Linked DNA regions of Drosophila melanogaster. The protein of the gene in region 2 interacts with the protein of the main gene of each other region in a biochemical or structural test. Each region holds a gene or a part of one and is shown on either strand. Other genes may lie near its edges.

The links.
Region 1: the proteins of dock (region 2) and Ptp61F form a complex in vitro, tested with the Drosophila melanogaster proteins (2 studies listed by BioGRID, with this or other methods).
Region 3: the proteins of dock (region 2) and Dscam1 interact in far-western blotting, tested with the Drosophila melanogaster proteins (one study listed by BioGRID).
Region 4: of the proteins of dock (region 2) and Src42A, one has a biochemical effect on the other in vitro, tested with the Drosophila melanogaster proteins (one study listed by BioGRID).

Annotation. Positions count from the first base shown.
Region 1 is NT_037436.4:1,344,569-1,352,325, reverse strand, and holds the start of Ptp61F (protein tyrosine phosphatase 61F), read left to right. Parts: upstream 1-1,726; 5' UTR 1,727-1,849; coding exon 1,850-1,954; intron 1,955-2,783; exon of another isoform or gene 2,784-3,127; intron 3,128-5,875; coding exon 5,876-6,049; intron 6,050-6,120; coding exon 6,121-6,383; intron 6,384-6,461; coding exon 6,462-6,828; intron 6,829-7,164; coding exon 7,165-7,700; intron 7,701-7,757. Other genes in the region: CG9166 (uncharacterized protein), read right to left, coding at 295-473, 537-797, 855-1,140. UniProt on the Drosophila melanogaster protein: Non-receptor protein tyrosine phosphatase. Required for maintaining dock/dreadlocks in its non-phosphorylated state. Negative regulator of InR/insulin-like receptor signaling through dephosphorylation of tyrosines when recruited by dock/dreadlocks.
Region 2 is NT_033779.5:824,417-832,005, forward strand, and holds the start of dock (dreadlocks), read left to right. Parts: upstream 1-1,552; 5' UTR 1,553-2,091; intron 2,092-4,888; exon of another isoform or gene 4,889-5,040; 5' UTR 5,041-5,119; coding exon 5,120-5,555; intron 5,556-5,728; coding exon 5,729-5,933; intron 5,934-6,321; coding exon 6,322-6,667; intron 6,668-6,760; coding exon 6,761-7,210; intron 7,211-7,297; coding exon 7,298-7,507; 3' UTR 7,508-7,589. Other genes in the region: CG3862 (uncharacterized protein), read right to left, coding at 17-1,381. UniProt on the Drosophila melanogaster protein: Adapter protein that links cell surface receptor tyrosine phosphorylation to downstream signaling pathways and effectors, many of which are involved in regulation of the actin cytoskeleton.
Region 3 is NT_033778.4:7,378,863-7,383,651, reverse strand, and holds the start of Dscam1 (down syndrome cell adhesion molecule 1), read left to right. Parts: upstream 1-1,782; 5' UTR 1,783-2,181; intron 2,182-4,789. Other genes in the region: cos (costa), read left to right, coding at 1-455. UniProt on the Drosophila melanogaster protein: Cell surface receptor involved in guidance and targeting of growing nerve axons.
Region 4 is NT_033778.4:5,991,026-5,996,011, forward strand, and holds the start of Src42A (Src oncogene at 42A), read left to right. Parts: upstream 1-1,966; 5' UTR 1,967-2,352; intron 2,353-4,986. UniProt on the Drosophila melanogaster protein: Required directly or indirectly for the phosphorylation of drpr which is necessary for the interaction of drpr with shark and subsequent glial phagocytic activity.

The DNA.
Region 1 (7,757 bases), on a different chromosome or scaffold from region 2:
CCTGTTTGGAAATACTGCTGTCATATTCTGACGGATTATGGCTATTATTGCCCTATTAGAGCTCGATGTTAATAAAAATTACAGTTATTTTAAAGATGGCTGCCTGAGCGAATGCACCCAGTAAGAAACTAGAGATGGGCGATCGCATAGTTATTTTGGCCGTGACACGAGAATAACAAGTCTGACACGAAATATTTATTCATACCTTATTGTTTTTCCAAATCACACTGCAAGTGATCTCGCACGTACGCAGCTCTAAAGAGTTTTTTTTTATTAATAGTGAAATGTATTATTTTACGTCTTTAGTTTCGATTTGTCTACGAAAGAAAGGGGTGTTTGAGCCATGAAAATATCGCCATAGGGATTGGTGGGTTTTTGGCTTTCGCGGTCGAATTCGGAGCCAATGGCCCACAGCGACTCCAGATCGTATTCCTCGCGAGCACTCGGTGAAAATATGTGCAGGGCAATGTTGCCTAAAAGGAAACGGAACGTGTTAGAGCGGAGAAACCGGAATATGCATTTATTTCAATACCCACCCAAGTCCATGGCCATCCAATCCCGGCTCTTATCGCCCTCGATGCGCGGCAATATGTCACCCTTGCCCCGCTTGATCTTGAACATTCGGCGCACGAACTCCGCGGTGGACAGCATGTGTCGGTAACTGCGACCACTGCAAACCACCAGGTGGTCAACGTACTTCAGGTTCTCCGGCACGTAGCAGACGAATATGTCGTCCACATTCTCCTTGCGGAGCAGCTCCACCAAGTCCTCAACGTCGAACACTCCGCGAACACCTCCTGCAAAGGGAAACAAAGGCTTAAATTTCTGCTCTCCCTGGACGATTGCCAACCTACGCTTTAAATTGAGGCCGTAATAGTGATCCAGCTCCAGGTCCGGCTCTGGAAGTTGCTGCTCCTGGTGGCGTGCCTCTTCCACATCAAAAATCTCCGTGGCTTCCTCATCGCGGAATATTTTGTACTTGTCTTGCACGCCGGCAACCAAAGTCTTTTCGGGATTGCCTTCGATTTCCTGGCCCTTCGCTGCCTGTTGTGGCGGCTTGGAGAACTCGTGGTGGAAGCAACGCAGGACAGGCACACTCAGGCGCCTGTCGTGCACTAGGCGGAACACGCGGGTCAGCATTTTGCTTTGGCTTCTTTCTGTTGTTATTAATAAATTGGGTAACAGTTGTTGATTCGATACTTTTGGTATTACTCGATAACACTGGTCAACGATGAGCGATTGTAATATCGGTATTTTAAAGTATTTGAACCCAATTTTCTTATCAGAATTTTTCTATTTTACTTTTAAAATATTTTATTTTATTTTTTTTATTTTATTTTTATTTAAAATATTTTATTTCAATTGTTTTTATATTGTTATGTCTTTAGTTAAGTATTTAATTTTATATAAATTATAGAAAACTTATCCCGAATGTTATATTATGTTTCAGTAAAGTTCTAATTTCTGCGCAAGCACTTTAGTTTCAGTATGTGTTCTATTGCTCTACAGCGCCTGGTCACATTATTTGATGGTGAAAATATCGATAGACGTAACTAATATTTCAGAATAATAATGTCGCAGATACAATATATTGTGTTTGGCTTGCATTTGTAAATAGGAATCACCATAAGAGAATATAATATGTAATGCGATCAATATAGTGATGTACAATCGAACTATCACTCGGTATCGCACTGCAAATACCGATAGTATTTCGCAAGCTCAAATATTCGATACATCGACACTGTCGTGAGTTGTCCAGCTCTAGTTCTCCTCTGAAATTAACCAGCCGCCTGATAACCAAATTAAAAGTTATTAAATCGGAACAAATCGCAGCAAAGTGTGCACAATGAGCGAGCAGAAAACGAGTGGGAGTGGGTCGGCGGCCGCTGCCCGTCTGCAAATCGAGGCGGAGTACAAGGACAAGGGGCCGCAATGGCATCGCTTCTACAAGGTAATTGGCAACAACAACTGCGACTGCACTGAAAACTGGTTACAAACTGGACGAATGATTGTGGCACAGTTCGATTCGCCAAGGATTCGCAACGGATGCGGAGTATACACCTTTCCACAGCTCCTTGGCGCTCCGATTTCCACGAAAATGTGATGAGTGCGCAAAAGGCTTCTGCAGATGCCTCCACCACCAACACCAGTGCAGCGGCGAGCTTTACGTGTGTGCGTGTGTATTGTGTGTCAGTGCTGTTGTTGTTGCAGTTGTTGCTTTAACAGCCAGGCTTTGGCCAAAAACAAAAACCCATGGAAAAGAATGTACAAACAGAATAGCACCAACACACATACACGCACACCTGCTGCACTTTACTTTGCATTCTCCATCGAACGCGTGTGTGTGTGAGTTCGTGCGTGTGTATTGGCCTGTATTTGGCATATTTATGCTTGTTATTCTGCCATACCTTTCCCCAAAAACGCTTTCCTTTGACTATCAATAGAGCGCTTGAGCTATTCCGCGAATTCTCGTTTGGCCAAATCAAATTGGAGGCGATTTCTGGGAAGCTCGTTGTGTTTGTGATTGCCGTCCCCCAAAAACAAAATACAATTCGTGGAGGGGTGACAGTGCTCTCCACTGAAGAACTCCTCTAACGCGCGCACACACACACACACCCGCTCGCGTTGAGCAGGAGAGAGAGGCTCACGCACACAGGGGCACAAAGGGCATGCGTCTGGTTTTTTGAGTCTCGCTTTGGGCTGCTTCTGGTTGCCTGTCGGAATTGGAGTCGGAATCCTCTCCTTGCCCCTTCTTCTCTCCTCCTCCACCTCCACTCGTTCTTTATAGCCAGTTCCGGCGAACTGTCTTCAGCTGCTACTCCTCCTCCTCTGTTCCTCTGTGCCTCTTTCAGCGCTTCCACTCACTTGAATTGGGATTTCACGGAATTCCACTCCGCAGTTAGGATGACACAGTATATGGTCGTGTGTAGAAATATCTCGTTTCTGGACCCGCTCCTCGGCATCCTCGTTCGTCATCCTTTGTGCTCGCGTCGAGGATAATCTAATTTTCCAGCTAACTGGAAGGCAGCCCGCAATTGTGCGTCGAAACTGACTGGAAAATAGCTACCAGCCATTTCCACTGAAATACAGTGCAACTTGACTAAGACGATCTTGTTAGGCCAAAGTGAGATTTCAATAAACTTTCTTTAATCATATTTTCTCATTAAATCATAAATAGTTTTCAGCTTGATAATATTACTTTCGTGAAATTCATCTAAATTCGCTGAATTTTATATGTTCCATAGCATGTAAACGTTGACTCATTTTTGTTGCAATGAAAAACAACTATGATCAATGTGAAAACATCACATTTTTCGATGATTACTTTATGAATAAGACCGACCTACCCCAATTTTTACTTTAATAACATTTAGCTGTGCATGCTACTACATTTCTGAAGAAAATTATAATCCATTATAGGCACTTATCTGTCTTTATTATAGAAATTCCAAAACACATTCTTCTAAGAATTAATAAATCGCAAATATGTGTGAACATAAACGGTACAACTAATTTTGTGGTTATCATTAAAACTTCCAATTTATTTGACATTTGCCATATGATAGCCCATCATAGGGGATTTGGACTGTAGCCAAAAACGCAGTGACGCATTCGGACCGTATTGTTTTGCTATGCTTTGCTTTATGTTTAATCATTTCCATTGAACGAAGTGCGTTACACTGGGTCTTCTCAACTCGCCGCCCCTCCCCGCCTATCAGCTCATACCTAGCGCCTTCTCGATCCATCCGTTCCATCAACATCCCACCCAACCCACTCCGTCCCATTATGACAACCTCCGTGGACTGTGACGAAGCTCCTCCACAGCTATACCCTGCCAGAGGGTGTTATAGTCCTTACCAGTCGTTGGTATCAACAGGTGACCGTCTTCTTTTTCGTTTCTCTGGAAACAGTCAAGCCAGATTTTATGAAATATGAAACTTGTTAACTCGCATAGTGTGTGTGAAAGGGTATGTCAAATTCGTATTGGCCAAGAAGTCTTTATCCATCGTTGCAATTGTGCTCTGCGTGCATGCAATGTTTTTGTTACTGTTTCTCGATTTCCTTCGAGCGTTGCAAGGTAAAGCAGAAACATAATAACCATAAAACGGTTTGCACGACACGCTTTGGAAACCAAAGCCCCCGAGATTTCCGCGCCTTCGCTTGGATTTCGCCACTCCGTTTAGAAGGGTCACCTGGATAGCCACCGAGCATAAAAAACAGTATGTAGCTGGTAAACGGCCCAAGACTTAATGTTCAACGGAGCCGAAGAACTGTTTTCTCCATCAGAATGAATCCAATCCAAGCTATGGATTTACATAAGTTCCGGATGGATTGTTGATTTTATATATCATATCTAGTTTGATATAGTACAAGGAATACAACTTTATACATCATAAGTACACTGAAAGTCTTTATCATTGGCAAACATTTAAATAAAGCAGCTCAATTATCTGCGCGTATTCTCACGTGACTCGTCGATTATCAGACCTTAAATAGGTGATTGTAGAAATGCTATTGAGTTGAGGAGTTTCGAGAAATATTAAGTGCAACCATGGATTTCTTTCCGTTTCTAATTACGAATTATCAAATGTAGCGATAGCCATTGAGATTTTGCTCTTTGAAAAGCTTCCTTATCGGTCATTAGCCCGTCTCAGATTTGGAGATTACGTAAAAATATGACTCTTTAAAGTTATTTCATAACAGGTCAGCTGCAGAATTTGCAGCTGATTCATTGTTGAAACATGACGAACTGACAATTAACAACTGATTTTCGAGCTGCAATCAACGCGAGCTGATGGGTAACCATATTAAATGGTTACTCATCACCGCATGCATGTGATTAGCTTTGAGCCGAGTTTAAGGAGCACTTGTCGTCGCCAGGTGGTTGCCATTGACCTTGTTAACGGTTCGGTAGTCGGATTCGATGGTTCAATTGGCGGGGCCACTTTCAGCTGCGCCAGCAATTCCCCGTTCACACTGCTGATAATGCCGCACCGGTCATGCCCAAGATAATGCCATTACCGACAGCTTGCTTTGCCATCGCCATCACCAACATCGCATGGCTAATTAGTCACGCCCGCTATGTAGACTGGGTGGGCTTTTCATATGCCGCATGGTTCCCTCCCAGTCCGATGCCCCTTACATGTATCTACTATCGCTTCAATCGCAGGGTTTGCCAATCCGGAGGAGCCCCTTGTCGCTGGGCCAAGTGATGAATCACTGCAAAGGGGGCAACCCCCATGGAAAAAAACAAATTCGATTTCTGTAACATTCTAGCATTCTTCTAACAGGATCTTATCAATTCGTTTCTTGACAATTTGTTTGCGAGTCAGTCAAACAAATGTATCACTTTAAAACTAGTTATTATCAGACCATTATGAGTCTGAACGTTTTCATTTTCTCGGAACACAAATCGTAAAAAGCTTAATTGCGCCTTACAGTTTCTCAGTTTGTATGGTTCTAAAAGGAAGCTCTGATATTCGTTTTAACAATGCCATTCAATACTATTGTGCACTGCTATTTGCTGTTTGCTCTTGTATCGAAGAATTCGTTGGGTCATTTCATGCATAAATGTTTAATTAGTTTGAACTTTTGGTCTTATTACTGTCTTAGATAATTGAGTAACACGAAAACTATATTTTTTACGAATTTTGTACCAGAAAGAAGAGATCTTCCAGTAAGACACTATAGTAGTTGTCTTCTGGGGTCTGGAACGCTTAGGTAAATAGCGCAAATCTCACAAAATCCCCTGAATTACCGCCTGCAAATTGACTGATAAGTTGTCAGTAAAGCGACCGAATTTTAATACCACCTCAACCTTTGTTGTTATGGGTAGTTTCGATTGTACTAATCGCTCTTTTCGGAATTCCAGGAAATTTGTGAGACCTGCGACCGGGAGGCGAAGGAGAAGCAGTTCAGCACCTCGGAATCGGAACGCCACACGAACCGCGGCCTGAATCGCTATCGGGATGTGAATCCGTACGATCATTCCCGCATTGTTTTGAAGCGCGGCAGCGTAGACTACATCAATGCGAACCTGGTTCAGGTGGGTCACGTTTTTAATGCATACACACACCCCTAATTAAACGCCTAATGCGATCAATCAATCCTTTCTAGCTGGAGCGCGCCGAGCGCCAGTACATCCTGACCCAAGGACCGCTGGTGGACACAGTGGGCCACTTCTGGCTGATGGTATGGGAGCAGAAGTCCAGAGCAGTTCTCATGCTCAACAAGCTGATGGAGAAGAAACAGATCAAGTGCCACCTCTACTGGCCCAACGAGATGGGAGCCGACAAGGCCCTGAAACTGCCCCACGTCAAACTCACCGTGGAGCTCGTCCGTCTCGAGACCTACCAGAACTTTGTGCGGCGATGGTTCAAGTGAGTAGAACTCTTTATTCTTCTTCTGCTTCAAACCATTTGTACATGTGGACTAATTGCCTTTGACTATTTCTCTAGATTAACCGATCTCGAAACGCAGCAGAGTCGTGAAGTGATGCAGTTCCACTACACCACATGGCCGGACTTTGGCATTCCCAGCTCGCCGAACGCATTCCTTAAGTTCTTGCAGCAGGTTCGCGACTCCGGCTGCCTCAGCCGCGACGTGGGTCCAGCCGTAGTGCACTGCAGTGCCGGAATCGGGCGGTCGGGCACCTTCTGCCTGGTGGACTGTTGCCTGGTACTTATCGACAAGTACGGAGAGTGCAATGTGTCCAAGGTGCTCTGCGAGCTGCGCAGCTACCGCATGGGCCTCATACAGACCGCCGACCAGCTGGACTTCTCCTACCAGGCGATCATCGAGGGCATTAAAAAGCTGCACGATCCCGTATGTATGCGCGACCAGCGGTCGGCGTTTGGGAGTCAAACTTGGGGGCTGCCAAGCACCGCCGTATATATTGCACATCGCTATTTATTCTGGGGGGTCACAGAAATCTCTGGGCTTGGTTATGGTTACTAGAATTCATATTGTTTAATGGAATTATGATTACTTTTGAAAACTGTATTATGTTTAGTTTTGTTTTTTATTATGTGATCTAGTATCAGCTTAATGATTATTGTTTAATTGATGCGAAAAAGAAACCATTGTTTTTGGTTTGCAGAGATTTCTGTGAAGGCCCTGATTATTTTCCGCGACTAATTAGAACATTTGATTTCTCTTCAGACCTTTCTTGACGCTGAAGAACCCCTCATTAGCAACGACACAGAGACTCACACACTGGATGAGCTGCCGCCGCCATTGCCCCCACGCGTCCAATCGCTTAATCTGCCACTGGCCCCCAATTCCGGCGGTATACTTTCGCTCAATATGCGCGCGGCCCAGGCTAATGGAGCTGAAAGTATCGGCAAAGAGCTGAGCAAGGACGCCCTGAACAACTTCATTAATCAGCACGACATGATCCACGATGCCGAGGTGGCCGACAGTCGTCCCTTGCCGCCATTACCCGTAAGGGCTTTCAACGATTCGGACAGCGATGAGGATTACTTGCTGGATGACGATGACGAGGACGACACCGATGAGGATGAGGAGTACGAGACCATTAACGAGCACGATGCCGATCCAGTTAATGGACACGTGCCCGCGACAACACAGCCACATGCCGACGATGTTAATGCCAACAACGAGAAGCCAGCGGTGCCAGTCGACGAGCAGCACAAGGCGAACGGCATCGATCCAATTCCAGGCCAGCTCCCAGCCAGGTAAGAATCTAGTCTTAGATCTGCTCAGTATCTATTTTTCAACCGCCTAGTCAAACA
Region 2 (7,589 bases):
AAACAAACAGCTTAATCTAGAAGAACGGCTTGCACAAGGCAATGGTGTGATCCACTCCGTAGGCCACTTTGGTGACCTTTCCGTTGATGGCCGCCTTAAAGGGAAAGAACTGGTCCTTCTTGTGTCCCAGCCCCAGATGCCCGAACCTGTTCTTGCCCCACATGAAGAGATCTCCGTCCGAGTTGACGGCGCCCATGTGAAACACTCCGCATCCGATGGAAACCACTGTGGTTTCGTTGCTGAAGTCATTTCGTCCGAATAAAGGCGGCAACAGATGCTGCGGCTTGGATGTTTGCTCCACGAAGGGTCCGAAGCCGAGGATGCCAAAGCCCCAGGTGTACACCAGACCCTGGTCGTTGAGGGCCATGCAAAATGAGCCTCCCGCAGCCACATCCTTGATTTTCCCGATGGACTTCGTTAGTTTGAGAGCTCTAGGGATATTTATTTGGGTTTCGGCCAGCTCTGAGTCATCTAGCTGTCCGTACTCAGAATTGCCCCAGCCAAAGGCATCGCCCGCCTCGTTAAGGGCCAAAACGCAGTCCGAGGAGCAGCTGAGCCGCACAATCTTCTCCTTTTCCACATCTCCTCCAATCAGGGTTATCTGCCCGGCGGTGTGGTAGTTTCCCTGACCTGTTTGACCATCCGCACCCCAGCCACATGTGTAAATGCGTCCCTTTTTGGTAAGAAACATGCTGTGGTCCTGGCCGCACTCCACCTGGACCACCTCATCCTCCTTGCCGCATATATCTTCCTGCGATATCCTGTGGATCAGGGCACTCTTGCTGTACCGCTCCTCCTCTATGATGGAGCGGCCACATTGGCCGTACGAATTGTTTCCCAGGGTGAAAATGGTTCCGTTTTGGGTCAGAACCACCAGGTGAGCTCTACCCGCCGACATGCTCTTCACACGCATGTCCTCGTCTGTTTCTCCCTGAACTCTCGGCAGTTTAATGGCTGTAGGATAAATGATCACGTCAAGGTTGGCCGGATCATTGGGATTTCCCTTCACCTGGAAACCCAGTTGGGAGTCGGTGTTCAAACCGCTGCCAAAGAGCGTCTCTCCGTCATCTCTATTCACGGCGTAGACCGTGAACCCGTAGCCGGCGGCCACATCCGTGATTTCGTTGTTGTTGGAGAACTGCAAGCGGGTGGGATGGTGCACCATCTCCGTGTAGCGTTCCTTGGCCTTCTTCACGTTGGTCTGGAGACCGAGAGCGCCGGTTTCCTGAAAGCCCCACACGTAAACTCGGTGCTCATGGCTGTCCGTCGTCTTCGGTGAGTACTCCTTGATCTTCGACTTGTCCTGCGCCAGCACACCCCTCTTCGCCTTGGCGGTGTACGACCTGCTGATGCCAAGCACAATACCCCGAGTTTTCAGCATGGTATTTCGGGTTAAACCAACCATGTAATCCAAAATCATAACAAAAACGCCACCCGATATCGATAGACCCGATGACCGGACAAGTGCTGCACAGCGCGCAACGTGCTTATCGATAGTTCGCTAAGAAAAACCGCTGATACGCCACCTGACAGCCCTGGTCGTGGTCAATCGCTATCGCCTTCCGCACATCGAAATCGGATGGGCGACGTGAAAGAAACGGCTCCGGCAAAATCATTAAAATTTAATTAGTTAACCGCAAGAGAGCGCTGCAAAATTGTGCAAACAATTTGCCACTTAACGCAGTTAACGTGTGCGGTAATCAGAAGCGTGGAAAAGCGTTTATTTGTCAGGATTTGTGTGTTTTTCAATCGCGGCAGCAGCATATGTACACACACACAGGCTCACCCCCGCCCCACTCACACACACACACTCACGCCTAGGTGTATTATAATTAAAGTTGTGTTTTAAGTGTGTGTAAAGTGCAATAGCCCAGTGGAAAGTGGAAGTGATATAGAGTGCGTTCCAGGAGTTCCAGGAGCAGTGTCTTATCCCATGTCTTCCACTCCCAAATCCTGAGGATTGCCAAGGGTTAAGACCGAGAAATACGGACTCCGACTTTCCGGATAAGGATACGGATACGGATAAGGAGTGCCAGGATAAGGAGATCCAGGAGGAATATAGGAGTTGCCAGTCCAACCGCTTCGTCTCCGGTAGGTACACACAAAATATTCGGCTGCTCCTTTTTAGCTCCTGTTCGAATCTCTCACGGCTCTCTCTCTCGGCTCTCTCTCTCTCTCTCTTGACCTGCGCTCTCTCTCTTTATCTCGCCCTCGTCACCTGGTGGTGCGTAGTCCTTTGGCTCGGTCCACCACCCGCCCAGTGGGCGGTGCTGCAACCCTTAGCCCTCCGCTTTCCATCACCTTTTTTTGGGTAACCATGGTCGTGTTTACGGCAAACTGTGCCACCGATATATATGTGTGTACATATGTACCCTTTCCCTTGTCTAGATAGATGAAACAGATAAATCGTGAAGATGCTTCACTTACCATAAATCTATAATATGTTCATTGCTCAAATACTACTATAGTAGGTACTTGTGTTTTTCAAAAGCCTGTGCCAGGTACAAAAGCTTGTACTCTTAACAACACTGGGAACGAGTCCTGCCATCCTTTGCAGGACGAGAAGTCCACCCTCTCGCTGCCAAAAAGCCACCACCTCGCAGAGATTTTGCGCAGCATCTCTAAACGAAACGGCCGGCAAATGTCGCAAACTCCCTCGGCAACAAAAGCCAAAAAAAAAATACAAAATACAAAAAACAAAACCGAAACCGAAACCCCATTCGAATCCCATTCCCCAGCAAAAGCATCTACTTAATCAACCCGGGCGGGAGTGGACTCCCAGCTCCCTGAATGAGTGATCTTATGTAAACAGGCTGCCCTTTGCCTCCCACGCCCCGAGATCCAGATAAGAGTGCCCCACTTTCAGTTCCTCCATGGCTGCCCCATCCATCCACCGAAGTCGTAACTCAATGTTATAGACCCAAATGCTCCCGTTTCGGGGCCACCAATTCGTTCGTGATGGCTTTTCTTGGGGACCAATGACTATACTCCCTCGTCTGGAACCGATCTTCAACCAATACACAGACACAGCACGGGGAAACAAACTTTCCGCCTCATAAACTTGTGGGCTTGTCCCCCAAGCACGTGCAACTCTTTCTTTCTCTCAGCGAAAAGACGAACTGCTGTCAGGAAAACAATGAACGAGTGCACCGGAAAAAAACATAAATGTTTGTCATACGGGAAGCTAAGAAATCATACCACAAAGAATTCTTTAAAAATATATATTCATTTATTGCAGTAGCAGTAGGGAATCTTATCAAATCATAGTTCATAATATATTTTTTGACAATTTCTCCGCGCTAACGAACTTATCAGCAAGTTCCTTCCGATTTCTTCGGATTTTATCAGCAGTGTAATGTCAATGTCTCGGCTGTTGGGCTTATGCAAGCGCAAACAATAACAAAACAATCACCAAGCCAAAGAAATCCAAACACCGATCCGAATCCAACGGTGGTGCATTTCAGTTCATTGGCAGCCAGCCAGCCAGCCAGGCGTTTCATGTTTACCAAGTCCCCAAGCGAACCGAACTGAACCGCCCCCTTATCACTCCAGCATTTGCATAAATATAATCTTTTTCGGGTTCTTTCTCCGTTTCTATCTGGGTTCGGTTACGGTTTCACTCCCGCTTTCTCCTCTCAAAAAATAGGGAAAACACACAGACAATTCGCACAACAGTGAATCACTTTGCGACCAATGCTTCGGTTAAACAGGTACTTCTCCGTATCTCTAGCTAACGCAAAAACCTTTGACTAATCGATGGTAAAGTAAACAAAAACACTCGTTATCACATGGAGATTATTATGGCCAAAATTCGAACAGGAAGCACGATTAGAAGTTTACCGGCAAAACAAATTTATGCATTGCCTGCATTTCTTATTATATACGTATGGGTCAGTTGCTAATAGATATTGCACCGAAATGCCAGAATTGAATGGCATTAGAGCTCTCGAAAACACTTTCAGCTGACTCAGCCTCTCGTGTATGACCTAACAGTCATTGAAAAGCGAAACCAAGATTGGCCTAGAGTCAAAGACCGAGTAGAGCGTTTTCTCAACGTGGCCCACACTTATTGATTTTTAATTATCCAAAGATGGCCCTCGGCTATGACATTGACTTTGATTTTGTTGGCTCGCCAACCTGGCCAACGAACTCGGGAAGCCTCTCTAGAGATCTCTGGCCGAAATAACCTTCTGTGCCGCCCGCTAACTGCCTTATGTCACTCGGTAAATCTCGGTTAAGAAACCAATTTCCCAATACCCCCGACCATTCACGTTCGTGACTCATTGCGGTCGAATGTCTCAGTTGATTTCTGTGTCTTTCTTGGCCTGAAATGGCCCGGATTTTGAGTCTCTGGTTCTCCAGCCTCGGTGAGGCTGCCCCGTTGAACAAATCAATACCCGATGGCCACTTATTCGCTCGCCTGGCAATTGGATTCAATTGAGTGGAGTCAGTCGGAGGCAACTTTCACTTGCACAGATTTTAATTGCCCCACAACTGGAATGGCCAGATCCCTCAGCCCCCATATCCATCTCCCGCTCATATTATCATCATCATGATCATCACAACACAAACACTTCACTCATTCATCTTCATCGCCGGCTCGCTGACCCCAAAAACAAACATTCATCTCTCGGCTAATTTTGAGTTGATTTCCTATTTGGTATTTCGAGTTTGAGTACTTGCATTGTATTTTTTAAGCTAATCATTTTTACGCTCTTTAGCTTCTTCAGTGCGAAACAATTAAGCCTAATTTGCATATATCATTTGCTCTCTTTTTCTTTCTTTCTTCGTTCGTTGCTTATGTTATTGCGTTGCTTATGTTTACTTTGCCACGCCTACGCTTCCGCCCACGCTCACGCCCATTCGCCCCCTGAAACCACGCCCACAGCAATTATGCATTGGCTAGAGGCGATTTGCAGCAAGCTTAGAGTGCCAGCGAGCAACTGCAACACATAACCAAACCATCAAAGACTTGTTGTTCATCAACTCCAACCCCAACTCCAAGTCCACCAACACTGAGCCACCGCCTCTTGCCTCCAGGAGCATCACCAGGAGCATCAGGGCAGTCCCAGCTGGAGGAGCAGGAATCCCCCCGCGGCGGAGGAGCAGCCAGTCTGGAATGTTGGAACACCCCCAGCGGTTTGTGCGCAACATCCCCGACTCCTCAGCCAGTTCGCAGCAGTATCCGCAGCAGCAGCAGCATCCGCCACAGCTGCCGCAGCACCAGAATCTGAATCTCAACCAGAATCAGAACCTGAACCAGAATCAGATCTACCAGTACCGTCCCCAGGTGCCCGTGCCCGTTCCCGGCTCACCTGCCCATCACCAGCGGCACTCTTCGCTCTCCCAGCAACAGCAGTTGCACCACCACCGCACCCTGTCCACCGCCTCCTCCTGCAGCGCCCAGCACAAAAGTGTGACCTTCGGCCAGCCAGCGCTCGACTGCGGCGGCAACGGCAGCGGAAGCGCCAACGGAAGCGGTAGCGGCAACTCCTCCAGTGGCAGTGCCGCCGGCAACGCTGGAACCCAATCAATGGCGGGCAACATGAAGCACGGTGAGCAACTGCAACACAATAACCTCACAGCGAGAAGAGCATTGGGTGTAGTAAAAGGATCTAGGATTTGTATGCTAATGAATTTGTGGTTCTATCATACTGGCCCATTTTGCTTTTCTAACTGTGTGTGCACTTGGTACTCTTCTAACCTGTTCCTGTTAATCACTCCGCAGGCAAATCTCAGGACGACGTCTGCTACGTGGTAGCCAAGTACGACTATGCGGCGCAGGGTGCCCAGGAGCTGGATCTGCGCAAGAACGAGCGCTACCTGCTGCTGGACGACTCCAAGCACTGGTGGCGCGTCCAGAACAGTCGCAACCAGTCCGGCTACGTGCCAAGCAACTATGTGAAGAAGGAGAAGCCCTCGCTCTTCGACAGGTGCGTCAGATTCCTGGCCCGACTAAACCTAAGCGTTCTTCTTGCTCTGATTTCAGCAGAATTAAGCCCTCTATACCTGTATCTGTATCCGTATCCGTAGATGTATCTGTATCTCTATCGCGTTCAAATACCCGCCTCCACCTTTTGCTTTGGCTATCGTAATTTAACTTATAACTGCTTTCGGCTTTTGTATTTTGTATTTCAAAACAACAAATTCGTTTTGATTTCGTTGTCTGTCGAGCCCCACTTGCCCCTAAAAACTAAAGATCCACTAACACCCAAACCAACTAGGGCTAGTCTAACCCACTTTAAACCGCCAATGAAATCTAACCATAAAACTTCATCCCAATACTGATCGTGAATATTTTGATTTACGATTTCTGTGCAGCATTAAGAAGAAGGTGAAAAAGGGCTCCGGATCGAAGACACTGCCTAATTGTTCGCCTTCGCGACAGGTCGAGAGTCCAACCATGTCGCGCCGACTTCCCCCAGATCCCGCAGAGGCCATCGGAACGGCTGTGGTCAAGTATAACTATCAGGCCCAGCAGCCCGATGAACTTTCGCTGACCAAGGGCACACGAATCCTCATCCTGGAGAAGTCCAACGATGGATGGTGGCGTGGACAGAGCGGCAATTCCGTCGGCTGGTTCCCCAGCAACTACACAACGGAGGATTGTGATAACGACGGCGAGATCCACACCTACGCAATGGCCGAGAACGTGCTTGATATTGTGGTGAGTAACTGGACGTGTTCTCAAAATAAACATTCACATCATCTATGAGAGGTTGTCATTATTGGCTAATAACAACTATTTTCAAATATATAGGTCGCGCTGTACAGCTTCACGTCAAACAACGACCAGGAGCTCTCGTTCGAGAAGGGCGATCGCTTGGAGATCGTGGATCGGCCCGCCTCCGATCCGGACTGGTACAAAGCTCGCAACAATCAGGGCCAAGTCGGTTTAGTTCCACGCAATTATCTCCAAGAGTTGAACGACTACCTGGCCACGCCCTATCGTAATGCGAGTGCCAGTGCAGGAAACGGAAATGGAGGAGGAAGTAATGGCGGCGCAGGTGGTGGCGGAGGAAACGACTCCATGGAGCGGCGCAATGAGGGTAATAAGCCGGCGGCGCAATCTTCCGGCCAGCCAATCGAGCGGCCAAATCTGGCGGGCAAGTCGTGGTATTATGGAGCCATCACCCGCAGCCAGTGCGACACGGTGCTCAACGGCCACGGGCACGATGGCGACTTCCTCATCAGAGACAGTGAGACTAACGTAAGTGGAATTCGCAATTGAAGTGCCATAACATAGTTCCGCCCGAATTCTTTGAGAGTGTATAAACGAATTCATCCTTTCTTGCAGATGGGAGACTATTCGGTTTCGTTAAAGGCCCCAGGGCGCAACAAGCACTTCCGCGTGCACGTGGAGCAGAACATGTACTGCATTGGGCAGAGGAAGTTCCACTCGCTGGACCAACTGGTCGATCACTACCAAAGAGCGCCCATCTACACGAATAAGCAGGGCGAAAAGCTGTATCTGGTGCGATCGCTGCCGAAGGCCAATGGCACGTAAGCAGGTCCAGGACTGGAGCAGAGAAATCTCAGCATTCATATTACCCGTATTCAACAACACACATATGCAACACAAAGATATA
Region 3 (4,789 bases), on a different chromosome or scaffold from region 2:
CCCCTGCCTGTGTCGCCCCGCCGGTGCAGGCCAGTAGTGATTTCGACTACGATCATTTCTACAAAGGTGGCGGCAATCCAAGCAAGGCACTGATCAAAGCGCCAAAGCCGATGCCCACCGGCTCGGCGCTAGACAAATACAAGGACAAAGAGCAACGCAGCGGACGCAACATCTTTGCCAAGTTCCATGTGCTCACCAGATATGCGTCAGCTGCCGCAGCCGGTTCCTCAGGGTCCACGGCCGAGGAATCCACGGCCCTGATTGAGTCAACCACCACGGCCACGGCAACCACTACGTCGACAACCACCACTGGAGCCGTAGGAAAAGTGAAGGACAAGGCCCTGGTCAGCTTCAGGCCGGAGCAGCTGAAGCGTCTGATGCCAGCTCCGACGGCCACGAAAGTGACGCGTCAGAAGAACAAGATAATTATCCAGGACGCAAGTCGTCGAAACTAAATACGAATTTAACCATTTCCAGGACGATATTATAAGGTTAAGCCAAATAGCCATATACAATTAATAGCCATGAGCTGAAATCCAGCCACTTTAATAATTAAGGCGATAATATAAAAAAATGCTTAAAAATGTATAACAGATTACTCCCATATACATGCATACATTTTAATCAATAGTCCGACATATATACCAGCTTGAATTTATTAGTTTACTGCTTGTCGTTTAACTTATTAAAGTGGCTGGAGTTCGATATCTTTTTAAGTGTGAAGCAATAGCTCAGATCCTGGTAACAAGAACTGAACAAGTTTCGTCCACAGTCATGACACAAATAGACTACAACACATGGTTCTCATTCCGGCTCTTTAGCTGGGGAGCATTTATTTTAGAAACCCCCACACGTACATACACCTAGCATATGAAAGTAACTATCCTCATGAGATTCAACCGTAAAGACTTGACCTGCTACTTAAGATACTCGCAAGACAAACCGTACACAAAACTCGCTCAAAGTGTTGACCTAAGTCTCCGCATTGTTTAACTTGTACATAACAATAATTATTAGGTAACCACTTAATTTTAATTGATTTTGTTAGTTTTAGCTTAGTTGTAAACACTATTGTGTCTTCCCTCGAATTTTAATTGACCTTCGATACCAATTACAACATACGTACTCCATACCCAAGTGTTAACCTTTAATATTCTATCAAAAGCATTTACTCTGTACAACTTATAAATGCTTCAAATCGCAGTATTTGCGCTAATCCAATACTCATTTTGCATTAACTTAAAATTAAAATTCAATACTGTTTGGTTGTGTACAACGTATTTTTTATTGTCCATTGATATAGATGCAGTTTGCACTGTACTCCGAGTAACTTAAATTGATATTAATGTATGTATGTTCCCTCAATATCAGCGTGTGAAAAATTATAAACACATTTGTAAGCATACATATTCCGCCAAATCGCTCGGCATGGCTTTGTGTGGATATTGTTGGTTAAGCAAATAAATATATACAAACTAAACTAATCAATCAGTGTTTAATCAGTGTTTTATATTCAAAATAAAATAGTTATCGTCTTATAAAGATAATTAAGTTCTACATTTGCAGCTGAAATCCAAGCAAACACAGTCCACAAGGCAACAGGTGAGAAATGTCCCAGAAATTTCCCAAACAATCGCCCCTTCGGACACACACACACACAGAAAGCGCAAAGAGAGAGGATGAGAGGGAGAGAGAGAGAGCGCCGGTTTAAGCGTTGTATCTAAATCCGATGGCGAGTATCTGAGCATCCGATTCAGTCTTGTTTGGACCGTCGAGCGATCGAGAACCGGATTTCAGCGCTAGTCGGCGAATCGCGAGAGCGTGCGAGTATTTGTGTGTGCGTGTGAGCGTTTGTTTTGGGACACCGATACGGATACGGGTACGGATAGACGGATATACGGCAGCGGTACGCGATTAGCAATCCGCCAACCGGTTGCAGCGGTGCTAGTGCACCACCCTACAAAAAAGTGAATAATAGTATGCAAAGTATCTGAAAGATAGTCAAGAGCAGAGCAAAGTATCTGTGTTTGTGTGTGCCGTGCTTTTGTGCGGAGTCGCCACCCCCGTGGATTAGTGGCACCCTGCTGCAAATAGCCCACCACTCTCACAAGTGTGTGTGTGTGAGTGTTAACAATTAATCGCATTTAAAAAACAATTTGGCCAGCCGCAGTAACAATAACGGTAAGAAAAGTCGGCGGTACCGTTGGGAAATTTTCACCGTTGTCTGGCAACTTCTTTGTGCCCGTCGTGTATGTATAGGTTGGGTGCAGAAGTGTGCGTGAGTCCTGCCCACGCCCACCGAGTAGCGCTAGTCTGCGAAATCAACTGCAGGATGCTGTAGGTTGATATTTTATCGGTTAGATGATAATAGTCTTTGGTCTTCCTTATGATTTTTCGCCAGACGTTAAGTTTTTTCAATTTGGGAATGCAAAAACGGTTACTTTATGCACCGTATCACATCACACACACTTGCAAAAGGGTGTGAAAATGTACTGCCATGAGGGAGGAAATATGCATGTTCTACGACTCCCAAACAAGTTTCATACTAAATTTCCGAATGTCTTGTTTAGTACGTAGGGGAGTTTCTATATATTTCATGCTACTTTTTATTTATAAATCGAGTTTTAGAGGAAATAATTGCAGTCCCTGAATTTTCAGCGATTTTTTTTCGGCGCATGCGCCCTTGGAACCGCAGAAAAGCAACTCTGTGATTACCGTTGTATTCGCTTGTGCGTCCATTCGTGTGTGTCAGTCAGTGTGTGTGTGTGTGTGTGCAACCTGTGCCTCCTGCCGCCAGGTCCTTGGTCCTTTGTCGCCGTCAGGTAGTTTTCAGCTTTCCCTACTCAAAACGCTTCATTCTCAAGAACCTCTTAAAATTCTTCGCAGTTTCCATGTGGCACACATACGTCGCGATCCTTTCAGCGCACATGTGTGTGTGTGTGTGAGTCCTGATGTTAGTGTTGTTTCATCCCCTGCTTGTAAAATCACTGAAATCCCGTGCAGCTGCCTTCGTCCTTTCCTTGCTGGTGTGTCTGAAGTTTCCACTATTTGATTTTGCAAGTGTTGCACTACCCTCCTCCTCCGCTTCCTTCTGCGTCTGCTGGCGATATACTTTTTATTTTCCTGCTTCTTTTTCTGGTTTTTCGTCGGCTCGCCATCCTGTTGCTAGGCGGTTTTCCCCACCAGTTGGACCAGTGCCAATTTTCCATGTGACTCCCTGTTTTCAGAGCAATAAAATAGTCAGTGAATTACCTATACACCTATGAACTTGCAGTAATATTATTGAATAGTATTTTAGGCACTATTGATTTAATTTTTTTTAATTTCTGTTTACATTGATACTCCGCTTAATGTAAATTATTATACTTATTTTACAATAACTAATTATTTATTTACCCACATGAATTACTGGTGTCTCCCTTTAAATGTACTGAATAGATCCTGGACATTTTTTGAAATCGTTAATAAGCTTTTCTGAAAGTGCTCCACTCGTTGAGCGAAGTGCTCAATGAGTTTTGGCAACCAATAAAATCAATAAATAAATCCAATAGTGTGCCATTTTATTCACACACATTTCAGATAAGTTCTAAGTTGTTTTAGTGATGGTTACTCCACCCACTAACTAATTTATACACAGCACGCTGGTGGTTAAACAGATTTACTTTGGCCGCTCTCATCGATTTGATGAGAATGCACTCATCGGGTCGCTTGTGAAGGCAAATATTGATTTCCACTTGGGCAGCAACATGACACAGCGGAAAAGGTTAAAGTGAACAAAGGACCGAATAAATATTTCCTTTTGTTTCTACTGCCGCCGAGAGCACTTGAATCTCAATTAGGGCCGCAGTGCGGAAGCTCTGGGCGCGAATGGGTCACAGCAGCGTTTCTGGACAATGGATGTGTGTCCTCTGCCTCCGCCGACGACCCTGCACTGGGCCACTGCCCTCAGTGCCCACTGTGCCCCATCCGACCATTCCTGCGGCACCACCCTTCCTAAATTTATTGGCTCGTCACCCCAATTTAAAGTTACACATGCAGCCAGACGGGGCAACAAGAAGAATACGAAAGGCGAGCATGAGTAATATTAAAATGCTTTTGATTCGTTGATTTTACCACGCGATTGACCAAACGGATCCGCTCACCGAGGGTTGTATCTCTTTATGTAGGTACATTGTATATGGTATAGATGTATCCGCACATATGTTGCCTATACGGATGCCTGGATCCGTTGACTGATTACCAGATGTTTTCCAAATTGCTTCAGTCGAGCATCAGTTGTCGGTATGGGAAGCGAACAATTTCTAAGCTGAAAGCTCAAGGAGAGATGTATTGATGAGTCATTACTCGAATATTTACGTGCTGTTCGGCAATTTTGGGCAAATTACTTTTCCATTTATGATTTATCTATTTATTTTTTAAACAAAAATCTAAATTCATTGATATACTTGATGGATTAGAAAAATGCACATGATTCTTAAAGGAACGTGATTCAATTAAAATTTGCAACCATTTCTATATGTGGATAAACTTCTTCGTCTTCAAAGTGTGTTTTTGATTAGCAAATACATTTCAAAAATAATTAATATACATAACTATTTTCCACCATCCGCATTCCTCTCTCTAATTCTAAACTTTTCTGGAATACTTAGTAGAGTCAGCTTAAAAGGGAATTTTTCGGTTAATAAACTCGTGGGTTTGATGCCACACCCCTGATGGAATAGTTTGGCCACCCCAGAGCCTTTGATGCAGCTGTTTCCCTGCTGCAAGCTACAGTCTGTTCATTAGGCCA
Region 4 (4,986 bases), on a different chromosome or scaffold from region 2:
GCTAGTTCCAATGTCAGAGGAGCATTATTCTGTATACGCATATTGAGTTTCGGTTAATTAAAATGTTCAATAATATGATTGTTGAGAGCGATTTGAGAAGACTCAAATAAATATTTTAACAATTAAAGAAAAGTTATGATACCACAGTTTGCAAATAAATGGGTCCGATTTTCCAAATAATTATAATTTCAGCTCATATGCAGCGAATTTAGTATTTTTTGAACCTCCGTATTCATTATTCATTAATAATTCAAGCCATCCTTTATTTTACTCCCGTTGCCACTATAGGCTGCAATTGTTATTGAACATGACATCAGAAAATGTCGTTGAACCCACGAAGAGAAGGCAATTGTTTTAGAGAGCCACATGCAAGAGCCGTGTCGGCATTTATTCATATTTCCCTGTGTTCATGCGTGGTGAAGTTCCGATTTAGTTGAGCGTTCTTCTTTCGGCTCAGGTGAAGTGTGTGTGTGTGTAGACAAATCATTCGAGTTTGTGGCAAGTCAATAATACTCAATAGAAGGCAATTGTTTTAATAATTTGTCAGTAGCTAAAAAAAAACATAAGTGACAACAGACTCGGTCGTCGCTCTCCAGGAAGGTCGAACGACTACATTTTAATTGACTCAGTGATATAGTGTTAATTTTTAGCTGATACGTCCGATAAAGACTACATATACTAACGGTGAACGTGTTGATGTTATAGGAATTTGAATTAGCGTAAAATTGCACAGGAAGCAAATATTCACCTAGTCTGGCTGGGCATTAATTGACTCGTAATTTACGTAGAGGTAAATACACACATTTCAATCAGATTAGGACAGTAGAAGGAGACGAAATCGCATTTTGTCGATACAGTTTGGTGTGTGGCTAGATTTGATTTCAGTTATACGACCTGTAAGCTGTGACTTTGTGCTGTAATATTGTAAAAGTTAATTTAAAATGAAAAAAGAATATACTGCTAAGTTAGATAACCGTATACTTCAGTGATATTGGCCATACTGCCTAACGTTTTTATAAAAGTGTCCTTTTATTTATTTATTTTGCATTACACAACCCGTTAAAGTTAACATTTAACACTTTCTGTTTACTTTTTATTTCCAGGTAAGTCCCAATATTTCAGTATTTAAGGGTTTTGTGGTCAGGGAAACGGAGAATCTGAGCCATCGACGTAAACACATGTGTTTATATGTGCACATGAATTTCTATTTACATAAGGGAGCTCAGGAACACTCATATTTGGTCAAGTGTTAAATCAAAGTGACTAACGACTATGTTTATAGATTTTGCCCTCCGACTTTTCGCAAAATATCCCCAGGTATTCGTTAATATATTCTTAATATTAAATGGTATGTCCAGGCGCGAGTCCCCACTGCGAGTCCCTTCTGGATTGGATACTAGCCATTAGTATTCCCACGATGTAGACTCTAATATTTTCTATTTCAGCAATGTTCCATAGCATACCTTATCAATGACGAGTTCAATGGCGTTCACAAGAACCCAAGCGGAGACATTTAGAAACAAATAATTTGATTTCCAGTGACGCGACAGTGCTGAGTTATTTTGGTTACGTGAACAAATTAATACAACCTGACATTTTGTCAGTAACAGCGACGAGTTAATTGTTTTCAACTCGATTTGATCTTTGCAATCAACGCACTTTGTGACTAATTGTTGTCGTAATTACAAAACTGTGCAGTTTATCTCGGAGCATCTTAAGAGAGAGGCACTTGGAGACGAAGAGCGAGACCACTCTTCGACGAGCCATTGGACTTCTGGGCCAAGATAAAAGAGACTAAGCACACAAAGATGGATCGAAGAGCGAGAGAGCGGGAACGGTTGGCCAACACGCGGGCAGCGAGCTTGGCTCAAATGGCACACACATAGATGCCAAGGCGGCGGGTGCGAGTGTGTCGGTGCGGTGGCAAGCGGTTAAAACCTTTCTATAAAAATTTCATAAACGTATCAGTTGTCTGCGAAGCGGTGCACAAAACGGACGTGTAAACGGAAGCCGCACGAAAACGGCTCGGAAATCGGAATAGCGCCCGTACACGCAGCACATAGGAAATCGAATCCGAATCTGAGTTAAATGCCTTAATCGAATTTGGCCAAAGCTCGCCTACCGCGCTTACAAGTTTTTTCGTTCACGGGCCGATGAAATCTATATAATCTATTATCCACAAGCCACCACAGAGCCACTAGATGCACTGTGCGGCGCATGCGCGACCTGTTTGTGTTGTTGGCATACTTCTAACAGTCAGTGTTTTCTTTGTTCAAAAGTGCCTCAAGTAAAACCCCACTTTGATATGGATAAGTGGTAACAAGAGCAGCAGTAGCAGCAAAACTGGAAAAGGTACAAGCCCAGGGAAGCTGCAGTGTGCGGAACATTCCTCTGGTGGATCCGAACTCAGAAAAAGATGGGAACAGAACTTTCTATTTTCTTTACTGTTTCGCGTGTGTTTCGCTGGTCATGCAAACATATTTTCTTTGCCTCGGCGCATGCCGCTGGAATTAGAACGGTGTATTCCGTGCGGAATACAAAGTCGAGCTTATTTCGTAAGAGAATTCCTGCGAATCTGGTTATGCAATGCCTGACAGCCCACAAAGTCGTCCTCAAGTTGTTGCGAACTTTATCGTTTACTATGTGCTAAAATGCACAACTGGCTTGCCAAACGGGTGATACATTTTTGTAAGTGCTAAAGCGCTCAGTTCCGTGCACATGAACTTTCTTATACACTGCTGTGCACTTCCACGGCGTTTTTTTTTTTCAGACACCATACCAGGCCTCAGAAATCATATCAATTTCGACTTACGTGACTTGGGCAAACTGCGCCATTTCGCACATATTCTTTGCGTTTAGGCTAAGATTTAAGTTGGCTCTCAGGCTTGGAATTAGCGGAGTTTAGGGCCTTCTTTTATATCGCTTTTCAGCCTTCTCTTGCTGCACTGTGCCGTGGTCGTAAATTTCCTGCGTCATGAGTCATGCCTGTCAGTCGGAGTCGCTTAACAACAGCAGTGGTAGCAGAAAAAAGATAAAGATACAGATACAAAATATTCAGTTGAAAAACACATGAAAATTGCTTTCATGGTATTGAGTGTGGAGCTCCAGATGAGCTAAAGAGAGGCAAAAAAGCTCATTGTTTATGGTAGCTGGCTTCGTGGTCCGCTCTTTGTTGTTGGCATTCCGAGCTGTAACCTCTGATTGTGATCCCTTCGAATTACTCCTTTCAGTTCATTGGTTCTCTCTTCAGCTCCTGCCACTTAAGCTATTAACTGTGGACCGTGCACTTTCCCAAAAACCTCTTATACATACGCTGACGATACTTTGTTTTCAGTTAGAATAAATAAATACAGTAAGGGAATAAAATAAATGTGGTTTTTAAAGCATATATGTGCAATCTCGGAGTCACGTTCCTACTGGAATATTTGCGTCGTCCTTGCACTTCTCTTTTTTGAGTAACGGGTATTTGTTAGTCAAAGAACTCGCTTTGGTGTTTTCTCTTGTTTTTTTAAGAGTGTTGGCGCCACAAAATATTTGATGAATGTGAAGGACGTTCAATTTCTTTTAGTTTCTCTCTTAAAAAAACAATTTTTTTATTAAATTAAGTACACGAATGTCGCGGATATTAATATATATGAAAAGTTCGACATATCGAATAAATTCGAATTCCATGAGTGGAAGGGAACTAAGTCTCGTCACCATTGTGCAATGACCTAAATCACGGTCATAAAATCAAAGCCAAACTTTTTTTTACCATAAGTTTTGTTGTGTTGGTTGAGGTTGTCGGTCAATGGCTATGTTTTTGCTGGCCAAATAGCTTACTTTTGATTTCCACATTAATGGAGCGCAGCAAGCGAATCACAATGTTATTTGCATTAAATTTTTTTGGAGTCACGGAGAAAGTACGCACAAAAGCTATAAATTAGACGGCATCACACAGCTTCTTAATTCCTATCGCTCTCTTGCAATGATTCACTTTTTTTTGGCTACGCAACGTAGACTCGCTCACAGATTTGGCTGAAAACCATCATGTCGAATGGCAACAGAAAGAGTTAGTGTTTGATTTTCGAGGTTTACTAGTTGTGGATTGGCGCACTAGAAGGAAATAACAAAAAAGCAGACAAACATAAAAAACGTTAAACCGGTTCAATTTGGGTCGTAGTACCTTTGAGTGCAATTGTTACCTTTCAGAAACAACGACAACAAAGACTTCGCCAATCGCACTCCATTCCACTCGCTCTGCAGCTCATTATACCCGTTATTATGTTCGTCTTGTTCAGTTTTCTTGGCACGCGTTACCGTAAAAAAAAAAAACTCCCACACAAGCAACCGAAAACACATCGAGCGATATTTTGTAATGACCATGCTTCGAATCGGTTACCATAGGTCAGTCAACAAGTTCGGTGTGAGTTGAGCTTTTATTCAGGGATAAACGCACCGTAGTCTTTTTGTTCATACTCGGTTAGTAACAAAAACTATACAAATCTTTAAAACACTCGAACAATTTTGGTCTTTTTGTACAACTTAACGTATGTAAGAATGTGTAAAATATTGTAAAACACAACGATTTTCTACTAATGTTTTTAAAACATTTTAAAGATATTTTTAAAATATCATATACCGATTCCTCTGAAGTCCACCTACGGCTGTCTAATTCGCTAGATGTTGACTGTAAAAGGTACAGGGTTTTAAAATTGTTTCAATAAAGCAAAATGTTCCCGGATATGTTTCGATCAAGAATATATATATATATATACATTTTATATATACTTTTCAACGAATCTAATTTCCGCTTTTTATCTTCAACTACAGGAATAAAAATATAATTTCTTGGTACACGACAGTATTAGTCCTTGACGTCCGACTCGTGACAAAAACTGCTAAAAGATATAGATTACTATATGCATCAGAGCTTTCAATAGCCTTTCGAAAACAAGACGGGTTCAACTGGTTTTATACAACGTCGTTGCTGTTATGGTTATTGTT